5 linked regions of the Sus scrofa genome follow. The protein of the gene in region 1 purifies or fractionates together with the protein of each later gene. This does not show direct contact. Links are inferred from orthologs where the notes say so. Each region holds a gene or a part of one and is shown in the gene's direction. Other genes may lie near its edges. The genes, in order: USE1, RINT1, STX18, SCFD1 and BNIP1.

Region 1 (5,941 bases):
TGGTGATCGATTGTTGGCTGGAGCCAGGCAGTAGGCGGCCTCCACTCCAGGCACCACAGACCTCACATCCCAGGGAGTCTCGAATGTGGCCATCGCTCCTCTGTTCACTGTGCCTTGGACCCAGGAGGCTGGAGTAGGCCGCCCTTGGCACTGCCCGCCCCCTGTGGCAGAACAAGAGCCCGCAACTCAGGACTGATCATGGGTGGGGAGGGCAAGGCCTAGGGTTGTACGTCCCTGCAAGTCTACGGCGACAGCCTGGGCAGCTGGCATCTCTGGAGCGAGGCTCTCTTCTTAGGCTCAGCTCACTCTCCAGATACCTGGACACATGGCCACAGGTCTGGGACAAGAGGCATCTGCAAGCCATGTGAAATAAAAAAAAAGTGCCTGAGAGGTGTCTGCATGTAGTTCCTACTTAGGCCAGCTCCAGGTTGGAAAAGCAGAGGTCAGTAGATGGGAGTCAGCTCTATGGCCTGTCAAGAGTGGTGCAGGGCAGGGGATTGGGCGCCTCACCTGAAAGGACCTGCCTTGTTCCTCCATCCAACTTTGCTACTGAAATTTCACACATACTCTTCACACAAGGGAGGTGGACTTTGCTGGAGGTGCTTTTTATTGATCCAGGAAGCTGGGGAAGCAGGCAACTCCTGGCAGAGCCGCATTCTCACTGAATGTGAGGTGAGCTTGCTGTCCTGGGAGCTGCTTCTTGTCACATCTAGCCTCTCCCCAGGTGGGGCTTACATGTCAGCTGAAAGGGCCATCTGCCCTGGGTTGAAAAGGAGGCGGGGTCAGTCCCTGGGAACCCACTAGAACCAGAAGCAACACCTTCACCACACCACCACCCCCAGCAGAGGAGGTCCCAGTTTGCAACCAGATGGGTAGTTGTGGGAACCAGCTGGCAGGTGGGGCCAGTGGGGTAGGGGAGTTGGAGACCATGACAAACCTGAGTTGAGATGACACATGCCAAAGGGTTAGAGGGCTTGTTCAAGGCCACAAAGCTGGGAAAGGGTAGGGCTGGGATTCAGACCCTGCCCTGTCTGCCTCCTTTTACCAATACCCTGATTTTGGTCTCCTCCACGGTACTTTACAGGATACCAGGCCCACAGGTGATGACCTGAGGGATGGGGAGGTGGTTGAGAGCTGCGTGCTGGGCTTCAGTCCCTGTGAAGCCCCCATCCTCACCCAGTCCACTCCAGGAGGGGGACTCAAACAAGGAGCTTTGGCTTCCTGGGAACTCAGACGGGGTTCCAACCATGGGGATCTGGGCACTAGGGGTGACCTGACCCCACCTCTCACAACCAGGACTAGCTCATGTCGTTGCCACACTGCCTGTTTCCCAAGGGAGGTCTAGAAAAAGTTAAGAAACTCACTAGGCCATGGTGGGAGGTGGAGTCAGAGTCAAGGCTGGGTGAAATCATAGCCGCAAAAGTTCGGATCGGTTCCCAAGTCTTGGATGCTAAAACCCCAGCTCAGGGCCTCTGCCCTGGGAGAGTCCAGGGAGCGCTGCCTGTGTGGAAGAGGCCAGTGAAAGAACCCAGAAAGGAGTGGGGAGCGGGGGATTTTGAGCAGGAGAGAAGTAATGAGCACTTCACGGGTTGCATATGGGCCTGACAGGAAGGACTATCCTTTCGACCCTTCTAGAAGGGTCAAGATGCTCACCAGAGGTAGTTGCCTTGTGGTGCAGTGAGTTAAGGATCCTGCGTTCATTGCAGCGGCCGCGCTGGCTGCTGTGGCGCAGGTTCGATCCCTGGCTCAGGAGCTTCCACATGCCAGCGGGCATGGCACACAAGGATAAGCAAGCAATTCAGCACTGAGTAAATATAAAGGGGATGGCGTCTCAGTTGAAACAAAACATCACTTCGGCCTCCCCAAACAAGAATGGGACACCAAACGAGCAGGGCACTTCCGCCCGGAAGGAGACTAACGGAAGGAACTTCCGCCACCTATTAAGATGGCGCCGGCGGAAGGGGCGGAGTGCCGCTGGGTGGCGATGGCAGCGTCAAGGCTGGAGCTGAACCTGGTGCGGCTCTTGTGCCGCTGCGAGGCGATGGCAGCAGAGAAACGGGACCCGGACGAGTGGCGTTTAGAAAAGGTGAGGGAAGCCCATCTTCCGCTTAGAGCCCGAATCCGGAGGGTGATTCCCGCAGGTAGAGGCCACCGGACCGACTCCCAGGCCCCGCCTGCCAATCTGGCCACACCCCTTCCGGTTGTCTCCGCCACGTCCACCTGCATCTCCTCCGGCTCCTCCCTGGGGCTCAGCTTCCCCTCCTTGACACTTGGCTCCTCCCGTTTTCCAACCCCGCCCCCATCTTGGTCCCGCCCCTTGTTGGGTCTGACCCCTTTGAGTAGACCCTGCAGGGGTGAGGGAGACTGGGCTGACACCCCCCTTTTTGTCCCCAGTACGTGGGAGCCCTTGAAGACATGCTGCAGGCCCTGAAAGCGCAGGCGAGGTGAGTGCAGGTGGCCACAGGTGGTTCAAATACTGGGCGAGAACTAGAGTCCAGGATTCCTGGTCTCCAGTCCCTGATAAGACCCTTCCCTGAACTGGGGACAGTGGACATATTTTCTTTTTCCTCTTCTCGCCTTCCAGCAAACCGGCGTCCGAGGTGATCAATGAATATTCTCGCAAAGTAGATTTTCTGAAGGGGATGCTGCAGGCAGAGAAGCTGGTGAGCAGGGGCACCTCAGCCTCCTCAACCTTCCTCATGCTCACCTGGGACCTGCCCCCTGGTAACCCCTCTTCCCTCTTCTGCAGACCTCCTCCTCAGAGAAGGCACTAGCCAACCAGTTCCTGGCCCCTGGCCGAGTGCCAACTACGGCCAGGGAACGGGTACCAGCCACAAAGACAGTGCACCTACAGTCACGGGCACGGTACACCAGTGAGATGCGGAGTGAGCTGCTAGGCACGGTAGGGCTCCCTGTCTGGTCCCTGGGAAGCTTCAGTTGGGGACAGGAGTTTAGTGCCTGGTGGTAATCAGAACAACAAATACTATCAGGTGTAGGGATCCTAGGGAGCCCAACAGCCTCTGCCCTGGACCATCAGACAAGACTTCCAAACAGAGAGGCATTGTGGCCAGGGCTTTGCTAGATGAGTAAGCATTTGTTACAAGGCAAAAAATGGCACATCTCTGGAGTTGTCAGGTGGTGCAGCAAGTTAAGGATCCGGTGTTGTCACTGCTGAGGGGCAGGTTCAATCCCTAGCCCCAGAACGTTCACACGCTGCAGGTGCAGCCAAAAATAAATGGCACATCTCCAGTTAAGCCCCAGAGTTAACCCAGAGCAAAGTTTAGCTCCTGCCTACCCACAGGGAAATGAGTTTTTTTCCATCTGTAAAACAGGATGACAAGGAGTTCCCGCTGTGACGGAGTGAGTTAAGGATCTGACTTCATTGACTGAAGTCACTTTGGATGCGCCAGTTCGATCCCTAGCCCAGCCCAGTGGGTTAAAGGATCTGGCCTTTACTGCTCTGGAGCTCAGATTCAATCCCTGACCCAAGAATTTCCACATGTCACAGGTGTGGCCATTAAAATAAATAAGTAAAATTTATTTTTTTTAATTATTATTTTCTTTTTAGGGCCGCACCTGCGGCATATGGTTCCCAGACTAGGGGTCCAGTCAGAGCTATAGCTGCCGGCCTGCGCCATAGCCACAGCAATGCCAAATCCAAGCCACATCTGCAACCTGCACCACAGCTCACAGCAACGATGTATCCTTACTCCACTGAGCAAGGCCAGGGATCAAACCCTCAACCTCATGGTTCCTAGTCATATTCGTTTCCACTGTGCCATGACGGGAACTCCATAAATAAATAAAATTTAAAAAGAGGATGGCAAATGTCTCTATAAACACTTTATGCGGATCAACTAACCCTTCAAATATTAGCCGTTGTTACCAGGTGATATATGAGGAAACTGAGGATGAGATGTCACAGGACTGAGAGTGGGGAGTTTCTCAAAGCAGAAAGGACAGGTCTTGGGACATGAGAAGGTGGGTGACTTGGTGCCTCTCCTTTTTTCCCACAGGACTCTACTGAAGGTGAGTCAATGTGAGCAGAACAGGACTCAAGGCCTGGGACAGACATGTATCCTTGCTGCCCCACATCCCTCATGCCTAACCTGGCTTCCACAGCCCAGGGAGAGTGTCCCAGGAACATTAGCAATTTACTCCTGGAGGGGGTGGCAGGACAGAGGAGGGGCCCCCAGAGGAGACAGAGTTGGACACTCCCAGCCCAAGGGTCCAGAACTGGCTAGAGGGAAGGGCCTGGGGCCTGGGGGAGCCCAAAGGATGAAAATTTCCTGGAAGGGAGCGCTTTGAAGCCTGATAGGGGCCACCTGGGTAGCAGACAAGATGAAAAATGTCACTAGGAGCAGCAGACATCCCAAGCAATGGTCAGGTAGTTGGAAAACAGCAAACCAATTTTCTCCTTCTTCCTGCTTGGCCTCTTTTGTTTCCAGAGCCTGAACTGAATGTGAGAAAGAGAACGTGAGTATCTTCAGCCCCTTGAGCAGCACTGGGGGCAGGGGATCTGGACAGTCCTTGGGCCACTGAGGCGCTGCCACAAGTGTCTAAACCAGCAGTCAGGAGTTCCCACTGTGGCACAATAGTATTGTTGGTGTCTCTTCAGCATCAGGGATGAGGGTTCAATCCCTGGCCTGGTGCAGTGGGTTAAGGATCTGGGATTGCCACAGCTGCAGTGTAGGTGGCAGCTCTGGCTCAGATTCAATCCCTGGCCCAGGAACTTTCATATGCCACAGATGTGCCCCGCCCCCAAATTAATTAATCAATTAATTTAACCATCAATCAAAAGCCACCTCTGAGGATGCTCTTCCCAGAAACCAAAGCAAAAAGGGGAAGCAGGGCAGTGGCATAGAACCTCTAGATTCTTTGAGAACATGTCTGTCTCTTCATACCCCCTCCCCATCTCATACCCACCTGTCCCCCCATCTGTATGGTCAGTGGGGCAGCAGGGCCCAGGCCAGAGGATGAGAAGCAGTCAGCAGCAGAGCTAGACCTTGTCCTGCAGCGACACCAGGACCTCCAGGAAAAGTTGGCAGAGGAGATGCTAGGCCTGGCCCGGAGCCTCAAGACCAACACACTGGCTGCCCAGAGTGTCATCAAGAAGGATAACCAGGTATGAGGACTATGGCAACTCTAAAACCTCTACCTTGGGCATCAGAGAAGGCTTTCCAGCAGAGGGGCACTATGGTTGGGGCTTGGCTAGCTGAGTAGGAGTTTGGTAGAAGGCAAAAATGGCATTCCCAGCAGAGGAAACAGCACTAGCAAGGGCCAAGAGCTATAGATTTGCTCCAGTGTGGTAGGAAGAGGCCACACTTGGACCCAGTCCTGACATTCTCCCCAACTCACCCGCAGACCCTGTCACACTCACTCAAGATGGCTGACCAGAATCTAGAGAAGCTAAAGACAGAATCTGAGCGGCTGGAGCAGCACACACAGAAGTCAGTCAACTGGCTGCTCTGGGCCATGCTTATTATTGTCTGCTTCATCTTCATCAGCATGATCCTCTTCATCCGTATCATGCCCAAACTCAAATAAAGCCCTGGCCTTGTCCACCTCACCTGTCCTCTCTCTGCCCTCCACCCCTGTCCATGGGTATTCTTTGGGGTGGGCAACAAGATGGGAAGGTCCTTGGAGCCTCTTGAGAGCCACAAAGAGTACATGAGAAGGATTGAGTGCCTGTTGTGGTGCAGCGGAAACACATCCAACTAGTAACCATGAGGTTACAGGTTCGATCATTGGCCTCACTCAGTGGGTTAAGGATCCAGCATTGCCTTGACCTGTGGTGTAGGTCGCAGACACAGCTTGGATCCTGTGGTGTAGGTCGCAGACACAGCTTGGATCCTGTGTTGCTGTGGCTCTGGCATAGGCCAGCAGCTATAGCTCCGATTCGACCTCTAGCCTGGGAACCTCCATATGCCATGGGTACAGC
Region 2 (5,332 bases), on another chromosome or scaffold:
TCAAGGAATATTCAGGGGCCTTTGGAGGGAAATTTACTGGGAGAGGAAGAGGGAAGCATGTAACAGCTGTTTCATCAGAGTGTTTTGGTTCTTCTGGCCGTGGCACATAGCCTGGGAATGAATAGTAATAGAAAGGGTGCCTAAGTTACCATATTAGTTTTAGGGGTTAGACCTGCCCTTAACATTGCCTCCTGCTACAGTCTGCCTCAGAAAGAAAGCTTTAACTACTTCATAGTGCTTGCCAGTCACAGCTGCCACAACTCAGCTCCTTTTCCTTAAAGGATTTGAGAGTACCTCCTGTACCTCTCTCAATTAAACACTTTCTTTTTCTTTTTTTTTTTTTTTTTGTCTTTTTGCTATTTCTTTGGGCCGCTCCCTCGGCATATGGAGGTTCCCAGGCTAGGGGTCTAATCAGAGCTGCAGCCACCGGCCTACGCCAGAGCCACAGCAACTCGGGATCCGAGCCGCGTGTGCAACCTACACCACAGCTCACGGCAACGCCGGATCGTTAACCCACTGAGCAAGGCCAGGGACCGAACCCGCAACCTCATGGTTCCTAGTCGGATTCGTTAACCACTGCGCCACGATGGGAACTCCCAACACTTTATTTTTCTACCTTTGCCCCACTCATATGTTTGGGAAGTTGATGCCATTAAGCTGTGGACTTTGTCCTTGACCTTCCTTTGGTGGCTTGGTCAACTTCTTTGCAATTAGAAGTGCTCCTTACAAAAAACAGGAAAAGAGACATCACCCCTACGCCATCAGCAGTGTGTCATTTTGAAGAATGTCATTTGACTAAGACTGTACTATGCTACATTTAAATGGTTAAATCAAAAGAATATAATTTTTACTTTTTTATTTTTTAAAGTATAGTGCCACTTTCTGTCTTACAGGAAAATGACCCAGTTATACATTCCTATACAGTAGGACCTTATTTCTTTTCCATTCTAAGTGTAACAGTTTGCATCTACTAACCCAAAACTCCCAGTCTATCCCACTCCCTCCCTCTCCTCCTTGGCAAGCACAAGTCTGTTCTCTATGGTCTGTGAGTCTGTTTCTGTTCTGTGTATAGGTTCATTTGTGCCATTTTTTGGGGGGGGGGCTGTTGAAAAAGAGCTGCACCTGCAGCATATGAAAATTCCCAGGTTAGGGGTCAAATTGGAGCTGTAGCCGCCAGCCTATGCCACAGCTACAGCAACGCCAGATCCTTAATCCCCTGAGTTAGGCCAGGGATTGAACCCGAAACCTCATGATTACTAGTCGGATTTGTTTCCATTGCGCCACAGTGGGAACTCCCTTACCATTCTTCTTAAGGAGGTTCCACATCACCTGTTTTTGTCACATTTAGTAAGTCCAGTGTGAATTGGCCCAACTCTAGTTTCTTTGCTGTGGAACCTTTCCCTTTCTCCCTTCCTTCCTTCCTTCATTTCTTTTGTTTTTTGGGACCTCCCCATGGCATATGGGAGTTCGAAGGCTAGGGGTCAAGTTGAAGCTGTACCTGCTTGCCTACACCATAGCCACAGCAACAGCAACGTGGGATCCAAGCCGCGTCTGCAACCTACACCAAAGCTCAAGGCAATGCCGGATCCTTAGCCCACTGAGCAAGGCCAGAGATCAAACCTGCATCCTCATGGACTAGTTGGATTCGTTACCACTGGGCTACAGTGGGAACTCTAAAAATATTTATCTGTCTTTTGTCTATTTAGGGCCACACCCATGGCATATGGAGGTTCCCACGCTAGGGGTCCAATTGGAGTTGTAGCTGCTGGCCTACACCAGAGCCACAGCAACATGGGATCCGAGCCTCATCTGCAACCTAACCACAGCTCACAGCAATGCCAGATCCTTGACCCACTGAGAGAGGCCAGGGATTGACCCTGCAACCTCATGGTTCCTAATTGGATTCGTTAATCACTGAGCCACAACGGGAACTCCAAGAATCTCACTTTAGATTGTACAATTTATTGTTTGCAGTAGCCATTGAGTTTTTGCCTAGTAATTTGTGTTTTCTGTCATATTTTCTTTTTTTTCCTGTTTCTGAAATGGATGTCTTTGTACAGTCAACTTTTAAAACTCTTTTATATAAGGAGTTTGGTCACCCTTTCATATTTTTTCCATACACTTGAAATCTTTCAATACCATTTTTTTTTTCTTTTTAAAAAACATTTTAAAACTAGAGTTCTTTTTTGGTGTTGTAGAATACCTAATTCCTTAAAAATTTTAAAAATATATTACTAATTTAATAAAAGCTGCATCAGTAGAACTAGATTTGACCTTTGTCCCCCAATAATAAAATAATAAGATTTTTAAGATCTACAGTTGTCTGGAAAAATTTTTTTTTAATTTTTTTTTTTATTATTTCCCCAATACATTTTTTTTTTCCTACTGTACAGCATGGTGACCTAGTTATACATACATGTATACATTCTTTTTTCTCCCATTATCATGCTCCATCATAAGTGACTGGACATAGTTCTCAGTGCTACATAGCAGGATCTCACTACTAATCTATTCCAAAAGCAATAGTTTGCATCTATTAACCCCAAGCTCCCAATCCATCCCATTCCCTCCCCCTCCCCCTCCCCCTGGCAATGACAAGTCTAGTCTGCCAGTCCATGATTTTCTTTTCTGTGGGATGGTTCATTTCTGCTGTGTATTAGATTCCAGATATAAGTGATATTGTATGGCGTTTGTCTTTCTGACTTAGTATACTGAGTCTCTAGTTCCATCCATGTTGCTGCAAATGGCATTATTTTGTTCTTTTTTACGGCTGAGTAGTATTTCATTGTGTATATATATACCATGTCTTCCTAATCTAATCGTCTGTTGATGGCCATTTGGGTTGTTTCCATGTCTTGGCTATTGTGAATAGTGCTGCAACGAACATGCGGGTTGGAAAAATTTAATATCTGTTTGTAACTGCATTGTTGTACCAACATTTATTGAAACCTGTGGTTACTAGGACAGAGTTAGGTTTTTTTTGTTGTTGTTGTTGTTTTTTTTTTTTGTCTTTTTGCCATTTCTAGGGCTGCACGCTCAGCATATGGAGGTTCCCAGGCTAGGGTTCTAATTGGAGCTGTAGTCGCCAGCCTACACCAGAGCCACAGCCACCCGGGATCCGAGCTGCGTCTGCAACCTACACCATAGCTCATGGCAACGCTGGATCCTAAACCCACTGAGCAAGGCCAGGGATCAAACCTGCAACCTCATGGTTCCTAGTCGGATTCGTTAACCACTGCGCCACCATGGGAACTCCAAGAGTTAGGTAATTTTTCTTTCACTCTGAATCTCCTAGCTCTTAAGCATTTTGTAGTAGTTCTTGAGTGATAGATTGCTTTAAGTCTATTCATTTAGGTATTTGGGTATGTGTATGCCAGTCATCCCTTGGTATCTTTGGGGCATTGTTCCAGGACTCCAGCAGACGCCAAAATGCCTGGATGCTCAAGTCCTTTATATAAAATGGCACGGTATTTGCATATAACCTGTACACAAACTCTGTATGCTTTAAATCCTCTCTAGGAATTACTTAAAGTACCTAATGCTAATAATAGCAATAGTTGTACAATCAATGTAAATGCTACGTAAACAGTTACTGGAGCATGGCAAATTCATTTTGCTTTTGGAATTTTCTATTACTATTTTTTATCTGTGGTTGGTCGAATCCATGAAATGGCCTGTGGATTTGGAGGGCTGACTGCATATAGAAAGAAAAAGAGGGAGGGTGTGTATATACATATATTCATATACACTTATGCACACTATTGGCTATTTTTGTGTATGTGTATATATACATATAACACAAGTTCTGTATATTTAAACAAAAATGCCATATGTAGTGTTTTCTTCAAATTATTAATTTTGAAAGTATATCTTGTATGTCTTTTGTAGTTCCTTTAACTCCATAATAGTAGTGTTGACTAATTGTTACTCTTTCATTTTAGGTGAAATAAATATTACAGCTCTCACTGGAAATGAACAAGTCTGTGAAGGCACTGATAATGGTGATCTCCCTTCCTATGTGTCAGCATTTATAGAAAAGGAAGTTGGAAATGACCTTAAATCTTTAAAGAAACTTGATAAACTCATAGAACAGATGACAGAAAGTAAAATGCAATTAGAAGAACAGGCAAGTATTAAAACTCATTGAAACGATATCAGTAGTATACTTATTATAACTAATGTAACGTATATATAACCATTATTATCTGGGCAATTTTGAAGATGTAGATTATGACAAATAGTCTAATCATTTAAAACGGCTTAATAGATTTTAAGGGCCTACAATGTGCTAGATGTTTTACAGGTTATGTAAAACACAAAGTTCCTGGGAGTTCCCTTTGTGCCTCAGTGGTTAGCGATCCCGACTAGGATCCATGAGGATGTGGGTTCGATCCCTGGCCTTGATCAGTGGGTTAAGGATCTGGCATTACTGTGAGCTGTGGTGTAGGTCACAGATGCAGCTTGGATCCCTCATTGCTGTGCCTGTGGCATAGGCCAGTGGCTTCAGCTCCAATTGGACCACTAGCCTGGGAACCTCCATATGCTGCAAGTTTGGCCCTAAAAAGCCAAAAAAAACAACCACAAAACCTGTGCCACAGCAGTGACCAGAGCTGCTGCAGTGACAATGCTGAATCCTCAACCTGCTGCACTACAAGGGAACTCCTCATACAACAACTTTTTTTTTAATGGCCACACCTGTAGCATATGGATGTTCCTGGGCTAAGGGTCCAGTTGGAGCCACAAATGAGGCCTACACCATAGCCACAGCAATGCCAGATTCGAGCTGCAACTGCAGCCTATGCTGCAGCTTGTGGCTACACTGGATCCATAACCCACTGAGCAGGGCCAGGGATTGAATCCATATCCTCATAGACACTATGGGAACTCCTACAACGACTTATAAAGTGTTTTTTTTTTTTTTTTTTTTTTTTTTTTTAAGGGCCACACCTATAGCATATGGAAGTTCCCAGGCTAGGGCTCTAATCGGAGCCGTAGCGGCCAGCCTATGCCACAGCCACAGCAACGCGGGATCCCAGCCGCATCTGGGACCCACACCACAGCTCATGGCAACACTGGATCCTTAACCCAATGAGCGAGGCCATGGATTGAAGCCGCATCCTCGTCGATGCTAATAGGGTTCATTAACTGCTGAGCTACAACAGGAGCTCCATAAAGTGTTTTTACAAGTAAATAATTTCATAGTACACAAAAATGTTGTAATGCCATCCTAATTTTTTTTTTGTCTTTTTACCTTTTCTTGAGCTGCTCCCACAGCATATGGAGGTTCCCAGGCTAGGGGTCTAATTGAAGCTGTCGCCACTGGCCGCGACCC
Region 3 (5,332 bases), on another chromosome or scaffold:
CAGTTTGAGCAAGAAAACCAGCGCCTGATCGGGGAGATGAACAGCCTGTTTGACGAAGTGAGGTAGGTGCGCGGTTCCTTTGCGAGCACCCCCCTGCCGACAGCTCACCCAGAAACTAGGGGCTTTATGAATCGACCCTGGTGCCCAGGCACCCACGTGTGGCCCTTGAGCCATTTGACAGGGGGGGTTCAGGGAAACAGCCCGAAGTCACCAGCTGCCCTCAACCTGCGGGCCTGTGGGGTAAGCCCTCCAGCGGCCACGAGGCTTGCCGGTGCTGGTGGTTGCAGGTGACGCCAAATGCCATTGCCACAGCCATGTACGGGCTGTTCACTTAGCTTGTCTAAGCAGAAATGGGGGCCTTGTGAGGGACAGAGAGAAGCCCCGCAGTGGCTCCTCTGGGGTCTGGCTGCTCCCTCCCCAAAGGGTCAGCCCCACAGAAGGCCAGTGGCCACAGCCCAGACAAGTAGGTCGCCAGCCTCCGGTGAACGCACTCGGGGCCTATCGCCTGGCAGTGCCAGGGGGCATTCTCAAGGCAAGGCCGGCCTTCACAGGTGCTGAAACTCCATGGGGAGCCCACCCCCGCAAAAGATGGCGCGCCCTGGCGTTGTACCCGCACAGCCCCGGGGACTTAGAGAGCAGGCGTCTCCCTCTGACAGCTGCCCAGCTCTCTGCGGCCTCTGCCCTCCCCGCCCTGTCCCACCTCACGCCTCTTGCCAGTTCTCCTCTCCTTCCGTCACCGGGTCTGGGGGACTCGGAGGCCTTAGGGACACAGCTGGGAGCCGTCTCTGCTCCCTGCACTAGACACGCACCACCCCAGCGCCCCTGAAACAGGCAGCAGCCTGGCCCCGGATGGGACATTTTCAGCCGAATCAGAGGAGGTTTTTCCCAACAGGGAGTTGGTTCGAGGGCTGAATGTCCTTCTTCCCCTGACCTGCTGAGCAGCAGCAAAGCCCAGTGGTCACCCTATTCTGACTGTGGAATCCGCACTGTGTGTCACTGTGGTGGCCGGGACAGGGCTCAGCAGTAGAGGAGACTTTGTCACCGGGCACAGCCTCAGGCACCGACTCTGGAGGCAGGGGCCCTGGGTCAGCGCGTGCGCGGGGAGGGGCGGGCTTCCAGACAGTCCAGTGCCTCCGCCAAGCTGAGTGACATTAACGGGGAGCCAGTGTGCAGCGGGAACCTCCCTCTGCCTGTGTCCTTCCCGGAGCCTGACTGTCCCTCCCCCCCTCCCTCGTGGATGACGAGGTCCCCTCCCCCCTTCATGGATGACATGCTCCCTCCCCCCTCGTGGATGACGTGGTCCCCTCCCTCTTAGCTGACATGGCGGGAGTCCCCTCTTCATGCCTTAGAAACTGCCACTTAGACACTTTCTTCAGAAATGTGTGACATTGCTGTTAAGATCACCAAGTCCTAATAGGTAACGTGTAATCTGTTTTTTATGAAGGCAAATCGAAGGCAAAGTGGTTGAAATTTCCAGACTCCAGGAGATATTCACAGAGAAGGTTTTACAACAGGTAAGAAAAAAAAAAAAGTTGTTTTCGGTTTCAGCTTCAAGGGGGGAATAGACTAAGAACTTGGGACATTTCTCCTGGATTGTGGAGTCCCTGAAGCTGTGTGCCCGCAGCCTCACCTTCCCCGGGCAGCCTCCGCAAGCTGGGAAGGGCTGGGGAGCTGCTAGATTGGTCCCGGATGTGCTCAGGACACTGGGGAGCCTCTCTGAGCCCCAGCCTTTTCGTCTATAAAGTGGAGTGACCCTTGCACAGTTGTCATAGGTTCAGAGATGGCCCCTGGGGAACGCCCAGCACAGTGCCGGATGGGGGTGGCTTTCCAGTCGGCGGTGTTCCAGGCTCAGGTTCGGCCCTCTCGGCATGGCCTGTGCGCACAGGAGGCGCGACTGATCTCGTGAGAGCGTCTCCCTGTCGTTTCTACCTGCCTGCAGCTCTGAAGTTCTGCCTGCCCCTCACTGGCAAGACTTTTAGACACCTGGCAAAGTCTCCCTTTTGTTTTTGGCATCCGCAGACTGGAAGGGTTTGAAAGACAAAATCCCTTTCCTCCACCGAGTTCAGGTGGGCTCCTTGGCTGACGATGCCCCACTCACGAAATCTCCCCGAGCCACCAGCCAGGTCCCTGCGCACTGCGTACACGGGATGGTTCAGGCTCACAGGACCTGCCCCTTGGACTAGCTCGTTGCAGGAACCATTCCAGCGTGTATATGCTAAGCCTCTGCTCAGGAGCCGACACAGGAACGGCTTGGATGCCTTCTCCTCGGAGCCCCCTGCTGTCGGCAGAGGCAGTTCACGCGGCGGGAAGAGCTCAGAGCCCAGATGGAGGCAGACAGGCAGCCCCAGCCGCGTGACCTGCGGCTCCCCTGAGCCCCATGCCCTCTGCACATCGGGGGCCAAGGTCCCCTGGTCGCTCTCTGGGGGTGGTCCATAGGAAGTGCCCCGCCTACCACAGGCTCTGTTTGGGTCGGTTTGTTTCTAGGTGTGGCAGTGGCAGCCGGGGTGCTGCACTGCCCTCCTAGCACAGCGGGGAGCCTCAGCGTGGCAGTGCTTTGTGCAGGAAAATGCCCCAAGGCCTCAGGGCCCTAAAGGCAGTGAAAACTCACGGTCCTGCACTAGCCCACCCGCAGGGGAGCACTGACCACTGTTCACATCTGATTCTTGGTTAGCGGGCTGGTTCTACATTGAGTTCTAGAGAGTTCCAGACTGTGCTGGAGTGGGTGGAGCTGGGAGCACAGCTCCACCCTGTGACACCCAGGGCCCGGGGCAGGACCTGGAGGGACCTACAGGGCGCTAGCTGAGCCTTCCCCGCCCCAGGAGTCTCTGAGTCCTGAGAGCAGTTGCACGTCCACGTTGCAGACGGGTCCCTACCCGCCGCGCATGTGGTCAGCTGGCTCCCACTTGGAGACACTCCAAGAAAGCGTGACTGCAGAGAGCAGAGCCGTCCCTGGCCCTTCATCCTTAGCCTGTGTCACACTCACTGCTGGGAATCAGGCGGCTAGAGGTGGCTCTCCTCTGCGGCCTGTACCCGTCGGGTGTCCCTAAAGCCCAGGCTCAGGGCGGTCCCACTCTCAGACCTGGCGGGTCCCCGCCTGTGCGGGGATCAGCCACACGTGCCTGTGCGAGACCAGAATCTCAGACTCAGCTTTCCAGGTGGTTGGAGTTGAAGGTTTTTTGCAGACAGCCTGCATCCCATTTGGACTTAAGTTTTTGCTTTTTTTTTGAGATAAAATGGTGAAACACAAAGCACCACTCTGAAGCTGGCACGCGCTTAGAAGGCCCTGGCGTGTGGTGGCTGCTCTGTGACCGCAGCGTTTGCTTGTTCCTTACCGCTGGGGAGTGGGCGGGAAGGGGGGAAGCGGAGGGAGCCCCGCACCGCCCCCATCGCAGCCCCACCACCTGGGTGCTGCGTGCCTTGGGCAGAGCGTCCGTCTCCCTTTGGTGAACGGGAGTCTCCTATCTCTCGGGGTGCTGTGGGAGCCTGGATTCACGCGTGTGGAGCCCTGGCCCCCAGGAAGCGGCGGCTTCTGTTCTTGTTGAGACACACTCAGGGCAGGGGCGGCGGGTGTGTTTATCTGCCACCCTTTCCTCCGCAGGAAGCCGAGATTGACAGCATCCACCAGCTGGTAGTGGGAGCCACCGAGAACATCAAGGAGGGCAACGAAGACATCAGGGAGGTGGGTGCTCCGTCCCGTCCCCACCGTCCTGCGGAGGGGCCCTCGGGGGCGCAGGGTCGCCCACAGCAAGGGGGAGGCCAGCTCCCTACATCCAGGCTGGAGAGGCCTGTTGGACCCGCATCCGCGGTCCTCCGAGCAGGTTGATGCGGGGCCATACTGGGGCCACCCCTGCCATCGCACGGCTGGGAAGCTCCAGCCGAGGAGCGGACTCGTGCTCTGAGCCTGCCTGTGTGGTTTCAACCCTGGGGTGGCATCGAGCCATCGCTCCTGGGGGATTGGTGGGAGATCTCCACATGAAGACCGGCCAGCAAGGGAAAGCCAGCCCCCTCGTCCTCCGACAGATTTTACACCCACTCTCTGGTAGGGCCGCGCGGGGGCGCGCAACACACGCGGCGGCCAGGCCCCGTGTAAGAGTCCCTCCCCCCCCCCCAGGCCATCAAGAACAACGCCGGCTTCCGCGTGTGGGTGCTCTTCTTCCTGGTGATGTGCTCCTTCTCCCTGCTCTTCCTCGACTGGTACGACAGCTAGGCCGCCACTCCCGCCAGACGGGAGCCCCAGCATCGCAGCCACGCGGACTCTCTAGGGACACCTGGACCTGTGGGCTTGAGCCCATTAGTAGCTGAAAAAGAATCTACGCAATTGAACGCGGTCTGCGTGGTGGTCCTGCGGCCGGACGGGAGGGGGGAGGGCGGCCATTCCTACACCTGCGGGGCGCGGGGACGGCAGGCCTCTCCCCCGGCACCGCCGCCTTGGGCTCCACCCTCCCGGAGGCCGCAGGGAGACTGCTGGCCCGCAGCCCTGCTCGGCGGAGGACGTTTGTTTGCTGCGGCTTCTTGTCTGCCCGGGCAGCTGATACGCAGCCTTGCTGTGCTGGAGCCGACAGCCCACCCTTGCCTTGTTAGCCCAGGAGATGCAGTTAGAGCACCGCCTGTACCGCTGGTAAGTCCAAGTGCAGAAAGTCCCTGCACCCCACCTGCCTCCGGTCGGGAAAGATATGGGGGATGGGGCCGGGGGACGCGGCTCCCCCGAGAACTGCCTCCCCCCACCACCGTCCTGACCAGAGGGCAGGGCCTGACTTCGTGCCACTGGGGCCCATGGAGCTCTTGGCCGGAGAAGGACCTGGGCCTGAGGCACCGGCGGCCACGCGTGTGCAGAAAACAGCTGGTGTTGGGGACCCCACAGCCGGGGAGCGGGGGCTCTACACAGACGGTCCCAGGGCGCCGCAGCGATCCTTGTGTTCTTTGTTAAGAGAGTGAAAGTGTCAGAAGTTACATGGGGATGAGTTTACAGCCGGTGAAATACACATCTACTGGAAAGTACAAACAGTTGCCTTGGTGCTGGATTTCCATGGGCTGGAAACTGGGATAGATGCTCTCTCTGCAGAGTCACTGCTCTTCGTACATCCCCACAGCTTCCCAGCATCCTTCACAGCTGAGACTCTAGGGTGCACCCACGGCCCCGAGGCCAAGGTCCTTGTTTCCAGACACCCCTGATGTCACCTGCACAGTATGTTTTGGAAGCAGGAAGGGAGTTGGCCGCGACCACCATGCTTACTCACAACAGATCTCGCACTGTTTGTCATTTATTTTTTGATCTAAAAAAACAGTGAAACTTGACATGTCCCCCAGAAACACCACATTCAAATGACATGGA
Region 4 (6,084 bases), on another chromosome or scaffold:
CCTTTTTTTTAAATTAAAAAAAAAGGCCTCAAATATAACATTTATAATGAAGTTTTCTAAATAAATATGTTTATGCTACTAAATGTGAAATGCTTATGTGAACTAAATTAAGTAACTTGTTAGGATTTAACAAGGTTTAGATTCTAAACAATACTAGGAAGATACAAGATCTTTTCCTCTACACATTTGAGAGATCCAGCAAGCAGTTGTTGGCTGACACCTAGGAAACTCTCTTGAATGAACTGAGGTTTTTTTGTGTTAAAACTGTCTATCCCCAATGTAAAATAATAGTTTGCCAAAATAAAAAAAATTTTTGAGCCAAAAATCTGGATAAGTTGAGTCAGTTAAAAGGTTAAGTTGGGTTAACTGACACTCTTTAACAGCTGTAGTTTCTTTCCTTATGTGTAATAATACATAATAAATACCTTAGTCTTAGCCTCACAGGAGCTATGTTTACTGCCACTGTTCTGTGGGACATATTTTTTTATACATTTGTTTGCCCACACTGTGCACTCTTTGGTCAAGACAGTTTTTATCATTTCAAATGTATATGCTGTATATAAACATTAAATATGTCTTATTTCATATCAGTATGACTCAAATTTTGGGAGGTCTATACTGGAGCTGAAATGGTTACATTATAGATTTGCACTTGAAAGTGGAAGCACCAAAATGAACAAGATTAGGCTCTCAGATGTTGAAGGTGGGAAAGCCTGTTTATTATATATTCCATGAAAACAAAAAATGAAGTAAAACTTTCACATAGCACAGGAACTCTCATTTCTGTTTAATTATAGCACACCTAGTTCATTGGTGATTCCTTCAAAATATTACTGATAACACTGAATAAAGCAGTAAATATTCCAGTTAATTTCTTATTGAATATGCCAATTAGCTGTAAAAATGATAGTGATTTTTCTGCTGTTTCCATGAGTTTTAACTTTAATATTTTAAATTCCACATGTATGAAACAGTAAAAAGCTTTCAGCTATAAGATGAATAAGGTGTGAGCATCTAATATATAACATGGTGACTATAGTTGATAACTGTTTTGTTTGCTTTTTAGGGCCGCACCTGCAGCATATGGAAGTTCCCAGGCTAGAGGTCAAATCAGAGCTGCAGCTCTTTGGCCACACAACACCGGATCCCAGCCATGTCTGTGACCTACACCACAGTTCACAGCAATGCCAGAACCTTAACTTACTGTGCAAGGCTAGGGATTGAACTCATTTAATCATGGCTATTAGTTGGCTTCATAACCAGCTGAGCCACAATGGGAACTCCTAGATATAACTATATTGTATACATGAAATTTGCTAAGAGGAGAAATCAGTATTTTTCACACACAAAGAAAAATATGTGAGTTGATAGATGTGATAGTTAACTAGATGGAGGGACATTATTTCATAATGTATGTGTATATATATCAAATTGTCACTGTACATTTCAAGGATCTTTCCACTTTTGTCAATTACACTCTCAATAAAGCTGAAAAAAATATGGAAGGAAAAAAAAATAGATTCAGTTCTAGGGTGTTCCCTGATGACATTAAGGTTATCAGTCTTAAGTTTCATAAAAACTTATTTGTGGAGTAGTGTTTTATTATAGATTTTGCTGTTTATGTAATTGTTAAACATAGTCTCAAAAATTTGAAAATTTAAGTTTTCAAACCAGTTTTTAAGGTACAGGGTCTGTAATTTCAGAATTTGGTGCAGCTTCAGAACAAACAATAGCTAATGCACAGAGTTGTGTGTCCATTTTTGACATCCAATAAAAAATCTATGGATTAGAAGTCATCAATATCGGATATATTTTGTTATCACATGGCTTTAAGCGTACATTAAGAAGACACCTGCACGTGAGGTTGAGAAATCTGCCAAATGAGAGCAATACACCAAAGCTGACCGTTTCCCTGGAAAGGGGAGCAAAAGGGAAACAAGCTGCGCTGGTAAAAAGAAAAGGGAGCTGGCATTTAAGTGCCGATTTTGTTCCAGGAGCTTCATTTACTTTAGTCCTGTGACCCTTAAGCCCCAGGAGTATTATCACACTTAAGAGATATGCAAACGACCAAACTAACAGTCAATATGTTCTTGGCACTACAACACGTTTCTACCCTAAGAGCTCAATTTAAGGCAGCTACTCTTTAAGAACCTGCGGCTTGATAGGATAAAAATTCCCACTGTTCCGCCTCCGAAAAGTAAACTGCCTAGGTGTCCAAAAATGATTCCCTCATTCTTTGTTCGGCAAGTTTTGTTGCTGAGGGTACGGAAGGGTCACCGTAGGGGAGGCGGGGCTCGGCCTTCTATGATCCCGCCCCTCCGGGCTTTGCTTCCGGGGCGGTCGGGGCGGCCACGTCATCCACAGGCTCCGCTTGCCAGCCGGGCAGTGAATGGTGGGAGTCAAGATGGCGGCGGCCGCGGCAGCAAGTATTCGCGAGAGACAAACAGGTACCGACTTATTCTCTTCTCTTCCCTGAGGTTTCATGCTTGCAGTGAGGACAAGCTTCCTATGCTTGTCGCCCTCACTCGGTCGCGGTGCGTGCAGCTCAGAGGTGGACCTTCAAAAGTTTAATCCTGTTCTCCGAGCATCGAGAGCCCCTCCCCTCTTGAGTTTTTAGGGAAGAGATTCCATTAGCTTGAAAACTCGGCCCTCGGAAGTGGTGCCAGAGAAGTGGCTTCTCGGGTGAGCAGGTTGCTACGGTCCTGTCCTGCACTTGTCGCTTTCCTACTGGACCTCAGAAGGCCTTTACGACAAGATTTAGCAGCTGGCATTTCCCCTCCCTGTGTTGCTGCCTATGAGGTCTTTCGGATTTGTTTCTGTGCATGGTTCAGTTTTCTCCCATTTCAATATTTAGAGTTGCATCTTCCGGCACTTCCACCACAATAACAAAATTTAAGTGTTCTTTTCAGAGCAGATTACATTCTGCCATTTCTCTCCTTTGGACCAATCTTTGGGGGTACCAGATGAGAAATGCTCAGTGTTAAAAGATTTCTGTCTTCAGCATGCTGGAATGAGGTATAAGAATGGCAAAATAAATGAATTAACCTTTCCCATTTTAATTATTTGGCAAATTAGTGTTCTTAAACTATGCGTTATTAGTTTCATGTTTAATAGAACGTAATTATATAGCTCCTGTGTATATTGTGAAATACGGTTTTAAAAAATACACATTCCTTCTCTTTGAGCTTTGGTATTTTTTCCATCTTAGATAATTTTAGTTTTGCCATATTTTTTGGAAACTTGTGATGACAACTTGGTTTATACCTGTTAGCTACAAACTAATGGATTATACCTGTTAGCTAATTGTCTCGAAAATTGGCAAACTGTTAATTCTGAGGAGCTAGTAGAAATAAGCCATCAAGAATATGCATATTTGGAAATTCTGTCTCTTGTAATTATGTTCTTTTGCATATAAATCTGTGTAGGAAAACAACTGATTACAATTAATATGGTCTATAGAAAGGATTTTGGCTATGCTTGATTCCTTCCTTTGGAATTCAAAGAAAAAATTAATGGTAGACCTTAATGTAGTAATGATACACAGTGCATAATGAGTTATGTTCTGCTTTCCACCAATGGATAATTTAGTGTAAACTATCAGATGAAGTCAGGCATAACTTAAATACATGAAAGTCCAAATAAAATTTGAGGAATACCTGCCATTCATTTTATTTGTATAAACAAATAGAAACCCCACTTGTCTTTGCAGTATGGTTCCAACATCTTACTGAACCTCAGTGAATTAGGTCATACTGCATATTAAAATAAAAAACATGTTAAGAAAGACTTTATGCCAATATAAAGGAGCTTTTTGAAAAATTAAATTTGTTAGTAATTTTTATATGCAGAAACTTTGTAGAATATTAAAATCTAATAGCACATAATTTGGATTTCTGCAGTAATAAATTTAATTGTAGCAATATTTCACATCATTACTACATAGGTTATTCCAGATTTATCAAATTAGTACTACAGTTGAGTTCTGTCTTATTTTGGGAGAAAGGCAGACATCTTTATATGTGCTGTAGTGGCAGAAGTAAACATTTGCCTGATGCCCATTGAGAATGTTTTGGAAAATAGATCACAGTTGATTCTTAAATATTCTAGATATAAGACTCTGGTACAAAGGAGTTTGCAGTCTATTTGGGTAGATAATAGCTGATATTTATTGAACATTTAGTATTGTCAGAGACTGTTTTAAGTGATTTTTACATGTATTTTTATCTCCATTTTCCAGGTAATTAAGTTATAGAAAGTTTAACTAGCCAGTTTTTTGCTTTGCCTGCCTGAAGAGTCTTTATTCATCTTTTAAAGTCACTTCAAAAATCATGTCTTTTGTTACAGTTTCCTGAAACACTCTAGTCTTATCCTTTAGTTCAACAGGCAGAATCCTATGTTACCGTTGTCATTCATGCATGCCTCTCTGTTGCAGGTTCTTGCTCAACTCTCCCATTTCTTAGAGGAGAACCCCAAATCAACTGCTTTCTCTCTTACAGTGATCTCATGTAGCTTCTTGGCTTTCAGTACTTTCTATATGCTATGATCCCCACGTTTATATTTCTAGCCTGGACCTCTCCTCAGACTCAGTCTACCCCATATCAAGTAATGACAACTCCATTCTTGTGGTTGTTCAGGTCAAAAACCTTGACACTTTCTTGACTTCTGTCATTTATATCTCACATCAGATCTGTCAGTAAATCTTGCCAGCTTTGCTCTGAAAATTCGCCTAGAATCTGACCTTTATCACACAGGTCCAAGCCACCATGAGTTTCTGCAGTAATCTCCTATTTGGTCTCCTTGCTTTTAAAACTCTGTTTCCCTTCATTTTTCTTCACATAGTATCCCAAGTGATCATGTTACATATTTGCTCAAAACTCTCTAGCACTTTAAGTCATTTATTAGTTTCCCTGTTTCAATCATGGTAAAAGCCAAAGCAATCTGACAGTGGTCTACAAGGCTCTGTATGATCTGCTCTCCACTTAACTTTCTGATTCAATCCCTTTTACTCTCCCCTTTCCTTGAACACACCAGAGTGCTCCACTTCAGAGCCTTTTTGTGTTCTTTCTGGAATACTCTTTCAGAGATATCTGCATGGCTCACTCCGTCACCTCCTGTAGGTCATTATTCAAATGTTACCTTCTCAGGAGGCCTCTCCTGACTACTTAAGTTAAAATTCACAACTCCCTCTTCCTCCTTCCTCCCCTGTTTTCCTTCATAGCACTTATCATGATCTCACGTATCATATGTTTTACTATTTTGTTGTCTTTCTCCCCCAGCTAGAATGACAGTTACTTGAAGATAGGTCACTTTTATTCAGTCCATTTTGTTTAGTACCAACAGCTAGAGCTATGTCTGGCAGGTGGCAAACACTCACTAAACATTTGCTGAGTGATAGTACGTGTAGTTGAATATATAGTGAGCAAAGAAAAAACATTCCAGGTGAGGGTGAAAGTACATTAGCCAAGTCTAGGTGTGTATGGTATATTTAATCATTTCAGTTAAAAGCAATAATTTAAGCCTTTAGAGAGTTACTCTAATGTAAAATAATGTAAAATTACATTCTTAAAGATTCTTTTTTTCTCTTTTTAAGGCTGCACCTGTGGCATATGGCAGTTCCCAGGCCAGGAGCTGAATTGGAGCTGCAGCTGTGACCTACTCCACAGCCAGGGCAACACTGGATCCAAGCCACATCTATGACCTATGCTGCATGCAGCTTGTGGCAACACCGGATCTTTAACCCACTGAGTGAGGCCAGGAATTGAACCCACATCCTCACAGACACAACATCAGTCTTTAACCCCTGAGCCACAACAGGAACCCCTCATTCTTACATATTGGCCATGTACTCTGTTAACAAATCCACTGTGTCAGAATCCCTATTAGCAAGTTACCCAAGGCTCAGAATTGAGGAAATTCATTAAGATGGATCTGAGAAGGTAGCTCTGGGAATATCTGCTGATACTGGCTTCTTTGAGTTAACAAAGACCTACCTCTGGAGAACACCATTCACCTGGGGCTCATAAGCAACCCAGGCTGTGATTCTTCCTAGTTGTCCTATGTCAAAAGGGTGAACAGCTGTTTCTA
Region 5 (6,045 bases), on another chromosome or scaffold:
AAACCCAAAATACTTAAACGAAGTCAAAATTCTGTAGCTTAAGAGGCAAAGCGGAGTTCCTGTCGTGGCGCAGTGGTTAACGAATCCGACTAGGAACCATGAGGTTGCGGGTTCGGTCCCTGCCCTTGCTCAGTGGGTTAAGGATCCGGCGTTGCCGTGAGCTGTGGTGTAGGTTGCAGACGTGGCTCGGATCCTGCGGTGCTGTGGCTCTGGCGTAGGCCGGCGGCTACAGCTCCGATTAGACCCCTAGCCTGGGAACCTCCATGTGCCGTGGGAGCAGCCCAAAGAAATAGCAAAAAGACAAAAAAAAAAAAAAAAAAAAGAGGCAAAGCTTATCTGTAGGAACAAATCCTCCTAATGAATAAAGAGCTCCTGGGAATGGATAGGCAAAAGACCAACAACCTAATAGAAAAACAGTAAATACAAATAGTTCTCAACCTTATTCATGATAAGAGAAATGCAAATTAAAAGGTGGCATTTTTCACTTGATCCAATTGGCAAAAATCCCAGTGTTTGTTATCACACCATGTGGGTGAGGCCATGAGAAAGCGGGCGTTCATACCACATCGCTGGTGGGAGTGTAAATTGATATAACCTCTAAGAAAAGCAATGCAGTTGTATGTATTAGAATTTTGAAATGCATGTAACCTTCGACCTAGCCATTCCATTGCGCTGGGCAAGTCATTATTCTCTCTGTGCCTGTTTCTTTATCTGTAGGAAGTGGATAATTCTACCTCAGGGCTGTTGTGAAAGAATGATACACATAAAGCACTTCATATAAAGTTCCTGGCACAAGGGAAGAGTGCCACAAATGTCAGTAATATAATAATAGCGGCCAATGTGCTTTGCATTCTTAGCATGTGCCACATTACTACATTGTGCTTGGTGCTTTTTATGTATGACTTCATGTAGCTGTGATCTCCACCAGCTAGCCTCTGAGGAGGCTGAAGTACCGAGAGGGGAAGCCTGCCTTAACCCTCACGTGGCCTCTCTATTAGATGCAGTGGAATAATGAAGGCCTGGAGGGAGGGGGTGTGGAACACTGGAGGAATACAGATGTGGGAGCACGCAGCTCCCCCCTTATTCGACACTATTCAAGGGGCCATATTTGGTTTTTGAGGGAAGGAAGATAGGGCTTTCACTTAAGGCTCTGCCACTTTTAATTTGGGCAACCTTGGGGCAAGGATGTTTTGTTCTGTTTTTGTCTTTTTTGTCTTTTCTAGGGCCGTACCCACGGCATGTGGAGGTTCCCAGGGTAGAGGTCTAACTGGACCCCTCATCGGTTCCCAGACCGCAGCCTACACCAGAGCCACAGCAACACCAGATCTGAGCCTCGTCTGCGACCTACACAACAGCCCACTGCAATGCCAGATCCTTAACCCACAGAGCAAAGCCAGAGATCAAATTCAAAACCTCATGGTTCCTAGTCGGATTCGTTAACCACTGAGCCACGACGGGAACTCGTTTTTTGTTTTGTTTTGATCTGGCCTTAGTCCAACTCCCGAACTGTGAAACTGGGTTATTACCTATTTCAAGGGTGGTTGTGAGGCTAAAGGGCAACAGCTGACACTCAGTTTTTCCCAGTCTATGATTGCAGAACAAAGGTGAATGGGGTGAGGGCAAGTGGGGAAAAGCATTCTAAGAAGGAGAAAAGCACATTCCACAACTACAGATCCAGACTTCCCATTTGCTCAGGGTGTTAAGCATCCAGCACTGTCACTGCAATGGCTGGGGTTGCTGCTCCGGCAAAGGTTCAATCCCTGGCCCAGGAACTTCCACATGTCCCAGGCACAGCCAAAGAGAAACCACCCAAAAAACAAAACAAAAACCCCACAACTACGGACCCAAAAAGAGCTTGAAGAATGCAAGGGGGGCGGGGGCGCTGGGTGGGGTAGCTGATGGTCTTGAGGGCCAAGTTAAGAAACTTGGACTATTTTATAAGAAAAATAAAGTGAAAGACTCTCTGTCTGTTGAGAGAGAGACAACAGCCAGGTTGTTATTTCCATCAAAACTACTCCAGCCAGGTAAATTATTTAATAAATCTAATTGTACACAAAAGGGAACCGCCAGGAGCAGAGAAGGGGTATAAACTGGAATGTGACTTACCAGTTGCGCATTTTAGACGCAAAGATCCCTAGCACTCAAGCTGGACTAACAGAAGATTCCCTAGGGACTTGCCTTGAATTTCGTATATTTAAAAAAGTGTAACAACGTTTGTCATTTTTTTCTTTCATTCCACAATTTATATTCACTGTAGAAAATATGAAAATACAAGAAAGTTTAAAAAAGTGTAAACAATTGTTAATTATACCTTTCAGAGATATCCCAGTTGATACTTTTCTTCCAGCGGTTCCCCCCACCCCCCGCCCCCATGCAAAAAACCCCGCATTCTTTAGAGTGGCTGATGGGCGGAGTATGCGGAGGGATCACCGTTAAAGCGTTCTCGATAATACCCTCGGCTCTCGCTCTCGCTCTCGCTCTCTCTCTCTCTCTCTCTCTCTCTTAACTAGATCCACACCAACAGGCCGACTGAGTGCGCGCCCACGTGTCAGGGAAAGTCCCCACCACTGCGCCGCCGCCCTCGCTCGCCGCAGGCCGGTCTTTAGGGGGCGCTGCCCCAAGGCCCGGCCGGGAAGGAAGGGAGGCCGGGAGAAAACGCGTTGGAACTTGGGCCCCGCGGCTGTCCGTAGTCAGCATTCCCCAACATGGCGGCTCCCCAGGATGTCCACGTACGGATCTGTAACCAAGAGATTGTTAAATTCGACCTGGAAGTGAAGGCGCTTATTCAGGTACTAATTCCCAGGACCCCCAATGGGGACCAGCGGCCCGAAACCCAAGTGGTTTTGGTTTTCTTTCAGCTCGGCGGTCTCACTGCTGAGCTTTCCCCATCTGGTCAAGTCTCCGAGGTCGCTGGCCCCGCCCCCTTTTCCTAGCTGCTCCCCTTTTGGTCCCGTTCCCTTCATCCCCTGGACTCTTCTCCTTGATCCTTCTTCCGGCTCCCGTTGGCTCGCCCTCTCCAAGGCCTCTCCTCTCCCTCTCCCTTCCCCAGCCTCCGCCTCAGGCCTGGCTACCTTTTTGTGGCCCCTGCCCCACTCCGGCCGTTTCCTCGCCCTGCCCCAGTCTCCAATTTACCTGTCATCCTGCTTGGCCCTGCCTTCTGACACCGCCCTTTCCATCCTTTGGTAGAGTCCTGGGGGCCGTTAACCCCGGCCCCTGTGGCCAGTTCCGTGGGTCTGATGTCCCGGGTCACCAAAGGCCCCTTGGCGCGGGAGGCACTGGATGAAGTGAACGTAACCTGGACGTTGTGATTTGTAAATTAGGAAATCGAGTCAAGGGCCAAGGCCTGGGTCAGAGGGCAGATAATGGCAAAACTGGGGTCGGACAGGGAAAGTCAGTATAGAAAAAAGACTTGAGTCTACTTCGTTTAACAGATGGGGTAATTGAGGTCCTTTGTTTTAGGCCGTTTGAGGGTAGAAGATAACAATAAACCCCTTGGCATAGGCAAGAGTTAGGAATGTAGAAATGGTTACTTGAGTTTAGCAAAAGGAAACCAAGAGTTTAAAATCTTCATTTGAGGCAGATCGTTTCCATTTACAACAAACGTTACTAAACGTTGGATGTAGACTGAGAATTTGCAGCCAACTGTGGTAAAAGGTGGAGGAAAATAAGGCTCCCCACAGAAGCCAAATGCAAAATAAACCAAATTAATAGTTTATTATATGGAGCAAAGAAGTGTGATTTAATGCATAATCCATAGAACAAGTGAGGCAACTTGATGCAAACAGTTAAACTCTTGAACTTCATGTTTCCGATGTATAAACTACAAACCTCTGGGCCAATTTTAGAAAAATAAGTTGAGGAGTCATAAAACAAACGAAACTGTCTTTTCACATAATCTATATTGCTTAAGCCCTTTTGGGCACTCTCTAGCTCTCTTTGTTCTTGTGATGAGAACAGTTGATCATAGCTAGAGTTAGCGCATTCTTACTGTGTTCCAACTCCTCTGCTAAACCCTTTACTACATACCTGATCTATGAAGTAGGTAATGTTGGGATGAGGAAACTAAGGCACATAGGACTCAGTAACTTTTTCAAGGTAAAATAAAACAGCTTATAATTGCTACAACCAGAATTTGAATGTACATAATATATCCTAGGGCCTGCTTTAAAACCTGGCCCTGGAAATTCTGAATGTCCAGAAGCAAATTCTAAATCTATCTTTGAGCATGTTTATAAACAGTGACTTACAATAGAGGGTTTATAAAATTAGATCAAGAAGTTAATCTTGTCATATAATGCCAAATATTAGCATCCTGACTTTTTTTTTGGTCTTTTTGCTATTTCTTTGGGCCGCTCCCGCGGCATATGGAGGTTCCCAGGCTAGAGGTCCAATCGGAGCTGTAGCCACCGGCCTATGCCAGAGCCACAGCAACATGGGATCCGAGCCGCGTCTGCATCCTACACCACAGCTCACGGCAACGCCGGATCGTTAACTCACTGAGCAAGGGCAGGGACCAAACCCGTAACCTCATGGTTCCTAGTCGGATTCGTTAACCACTGCGCCACGACGGGAACTCCGCATCCTGACTTTTAAGTTGGAACCATGTAACATTACAGTCTAATGTTATAATACGTCAGAGTTCCCATTGTAGCGCAGTGGAAATGAATCCGACTAGGAACCATGAGGTTGTGAGTTCAATCCCTGGCCTCACTCAGTGGGTTAAGGATCTGGCGTTGCTGTGAGCTGTGCTGTAGGTCACAGACGCTGCTCAGATCCTCTGTTGCTGTGACTGTGGGCGTAGGCTGGCAGCTGTAGCTCCCATTGGACCCCTAGCCTGGGAACCTCCATATGCCATAGGAGTGCCCCCCACCATTAAAGTAAAGCTACAGTCTGTCTTTTAGATGTCCATTCCTGTCACAAGTTGCTTTAAGTCTTTCATAATGGCTGAATGGAGTTTTGGTAAACTTCAGGAACTAATAGGTCAAGATAGAGTTGTGTTTCTATCTGTGCTTTTATGTTACTTGCTGAGAAGTTATCTAAAGCGGGATGAGAAAAATGTAAATTACATTGTTTTTGCTTGTGTTGTAGAGGTAAACATCAAAGATCAGGATGAATTTCAGTTAGTAGGCCAAACTTAGTTGTGACCTAAGCCAACTCTCTCACGGTACAGCTGGTGTCGTTTCATTTCATTGCCTTGAGAAAGGCTCCCTCATCTCTTCACTTTTTCCTAGGATATTCGAGATTGTTCAGGACCCTTAAGTGCACTTACGGAACTGAATACTAAAGTGAAAGAAAAATTTCAACAGTTGCGGCACAGAATACAGGTAAGTGTCCGCAGAGCAGGGATGCTGAGACTGGGCAGCATTCATTGTCCTTGGAATTTTTCAACTTGAAGACTCAGAGATCACTTGAATTAACTTTCTTTTCTCTACCCCTCTCTCTAACCCATCCACCTCAATTCATTACAATTATCTGGTAATGGTTTTTTTTTTCATACTGTCACTTTGGCCTCTTCCTCTCTGTTTCTGTGTCTCTAGTCGCATCATATGCTTATGTAACAGTCTTGAATTCAACTAGGGTATATGTGCTGTTTCCAAAATCATTAGAGCAAGGAAAGTAGGTGTTTCTGTGCTGTGCCCTGAGTGAGGGTAAGCTGGTAGCATGGGTCTGTCCATCCCTGGGCGGGTCTTGGGGCACCTGGTCTCCATCCATGTGATGCTGGATTTAGAGACTTGTGCTTTTTATCTGACCTGGTCCCAAATGCCAGCCCTTGTTGCTTAACAGAAGAAGACAGTCTGTTCCAAAGATACTTGAAAAACTGGCAGTTTGGACCCTGAGAAACAGAATGTCCATGTCCTGTGTTGCTTTCTAAGGGATTTTCAAGGGCAGTTTTGCCAGTATGCAGTTTTTGTCAAAGGAGGTCACTCTAGGTTGTCAGCAATGTCACTGAACCTAGCTGGTCTCTTTCCGCCTCCATCTCTAGTACTGATTTAATCATTTTAATTTTTTAAAACTTAACAATATATATTGTAGATCTTTCCATGT

What was found.
Region 2: the proteins of USE1 (region 1) and RINT1 purify together in Homo sapiens (co-immunoprecipitation; 3 studies listed by BioGRID and IntAct, counting the BioPlex papers as one, with this or other methods). This does not show direct contact. The link is inferred for Sus scrofa from reciprocal best matches to the Homo sapiens genes USE1 and RINT1.
Region 3: the proteins of USE1 (region 1) and STX18 purify together in Homo sapiens (co-immunoprecipitation; 4 studies listed by BioGRID and IntAct, counting the BioPlex papers as one, with this or other methods). This does not show direct contact. The link is inferred for Sus scrofa from reciprocal best matches to the Homo sapiens genes USE1 and STX18.
Region 4: the proteins of USE1 (region 1) and SCFD1 purify together in Homo sapiens (affinity purification with mass spectrometry; 3 studies listed by BioGRID and IntAct, counting the BioPlex papers as one, with this or other methods). This does not show direct contact. The link is inferred for Sus scrofa from reciprocal best matches to the Homo sapiens genes USE1 and SCFD1.
Region 5: the proteins of USE1 (region 1) and BNIP1 purify together in Homo sapiens (co-immunoprecipitation; 4 studies listed by BioGRID and IntAct, counting the BioPlex papers as one, with this or other methods). This does not show direct contact. The link is inferred for Sus scrofa from reciprocal best matches to the Homo sapiens genes USE1 and BNIP1.

Annotation. Positions count from the first base shown.
Region 1 is NC_010444.4:60,450,052-60,455,992, reverse strand, and holds USE1 (vesicle transport protein USE1), read left to right. Parts: upstream 1-1,922; 5' UTR 1,923-1,945; coding exon 1,946-2,086; intron 2,087-2,394; coding exon 2,395-2,444; intron 2,445-2,584; coding exon 2,585-2,663; intron 2,664-2,749; coding exon 2,750-2,902; intron 2,903-4,016; coding exon 4,017-4,029; intron 4,030-4,448; coding exon 4,449-4,476; intron 4,477-4,950; coding exon 4,951-5,125; intron 5,126-5,364; coding exon 5,365-5,547; 3' UTR 5,548-5,569; downstream 5,570-5,941.
Region 2 is NC_010451.4:105,394,535-105,399,866, forward strand, and holds part of RINT1 (RAD50-interacting protein 1), read left to right. Parts: intron 1-3,941; coding exon 3,942-4,126; intron 4,127-5,332. UniProt on the Homo sapiens protein: Involved in regulation of membrane traffic between the Golgi and the endoplasmic reticulum (ER); the function is proposed to depend on its association in the NRZ complex which is believed to play a role in SNARE assembly at the ER.
Region 3 is NC_010450.4:5,994,811-6,000,142, forward strand, and holds the end of STX18 (syntaxin-18), read left to right. Parts: intron 1-3; coding exon 4-62; intron 63-1,444; coding exon 1,445-1,514; intron 1,515-3,598; coding exon 3,599-3,679; intron 3,680-4,111; coding exon 4,112-4,207; 3' UTR 4,208-5,002; downstream 5,003-5,332. UniProt on the Homo sapiens protein: Syntaxin that may be involved in targeting and fusion of Golgi-derived retrograde transport vesicles with the ER.
Region 4 is NC_010449.5:68,847,281-68,853,364, reverse strand, and holds the start of SCFD1 (sec1 family domain-containing protein 1), read left to right. Parts: upstream 1-2,309; 5' UTR 2,310-2,389; coding exon 2,390-2,447; intron 2,448-6,084. UniProt on the Homo sapiens protein: Plays a role in SNARE-pin assembly and Golgi-to-ER retrograde transport via its interaction with COG4. Involved in vesicular transport between the endoplasmic reticulum and the Golgi.
Region 5 is NC_010458.4:51,136,775-51,142,819, reverse strand, and holds the start of BNIP1 (vesicle transport protein SEC20), read left to right. Parts: upstream 1-2,430; 5' UTR 2,431-2,705; coding exon 2,706-2,789; intron 2,790-3,132; exon of another isoform or gene 3,133-4,374; intron 4,375-5,231; coding exon 5,232-5,324; intron 5,325-6,045. UniProt on the Homo sapiens protein: As part of a SNARE complex may be involved in endoplasmic reticulum membranes fusion and be required for the maintenance of endoplasmic reticulum organization. Also plays a role in apoptosis.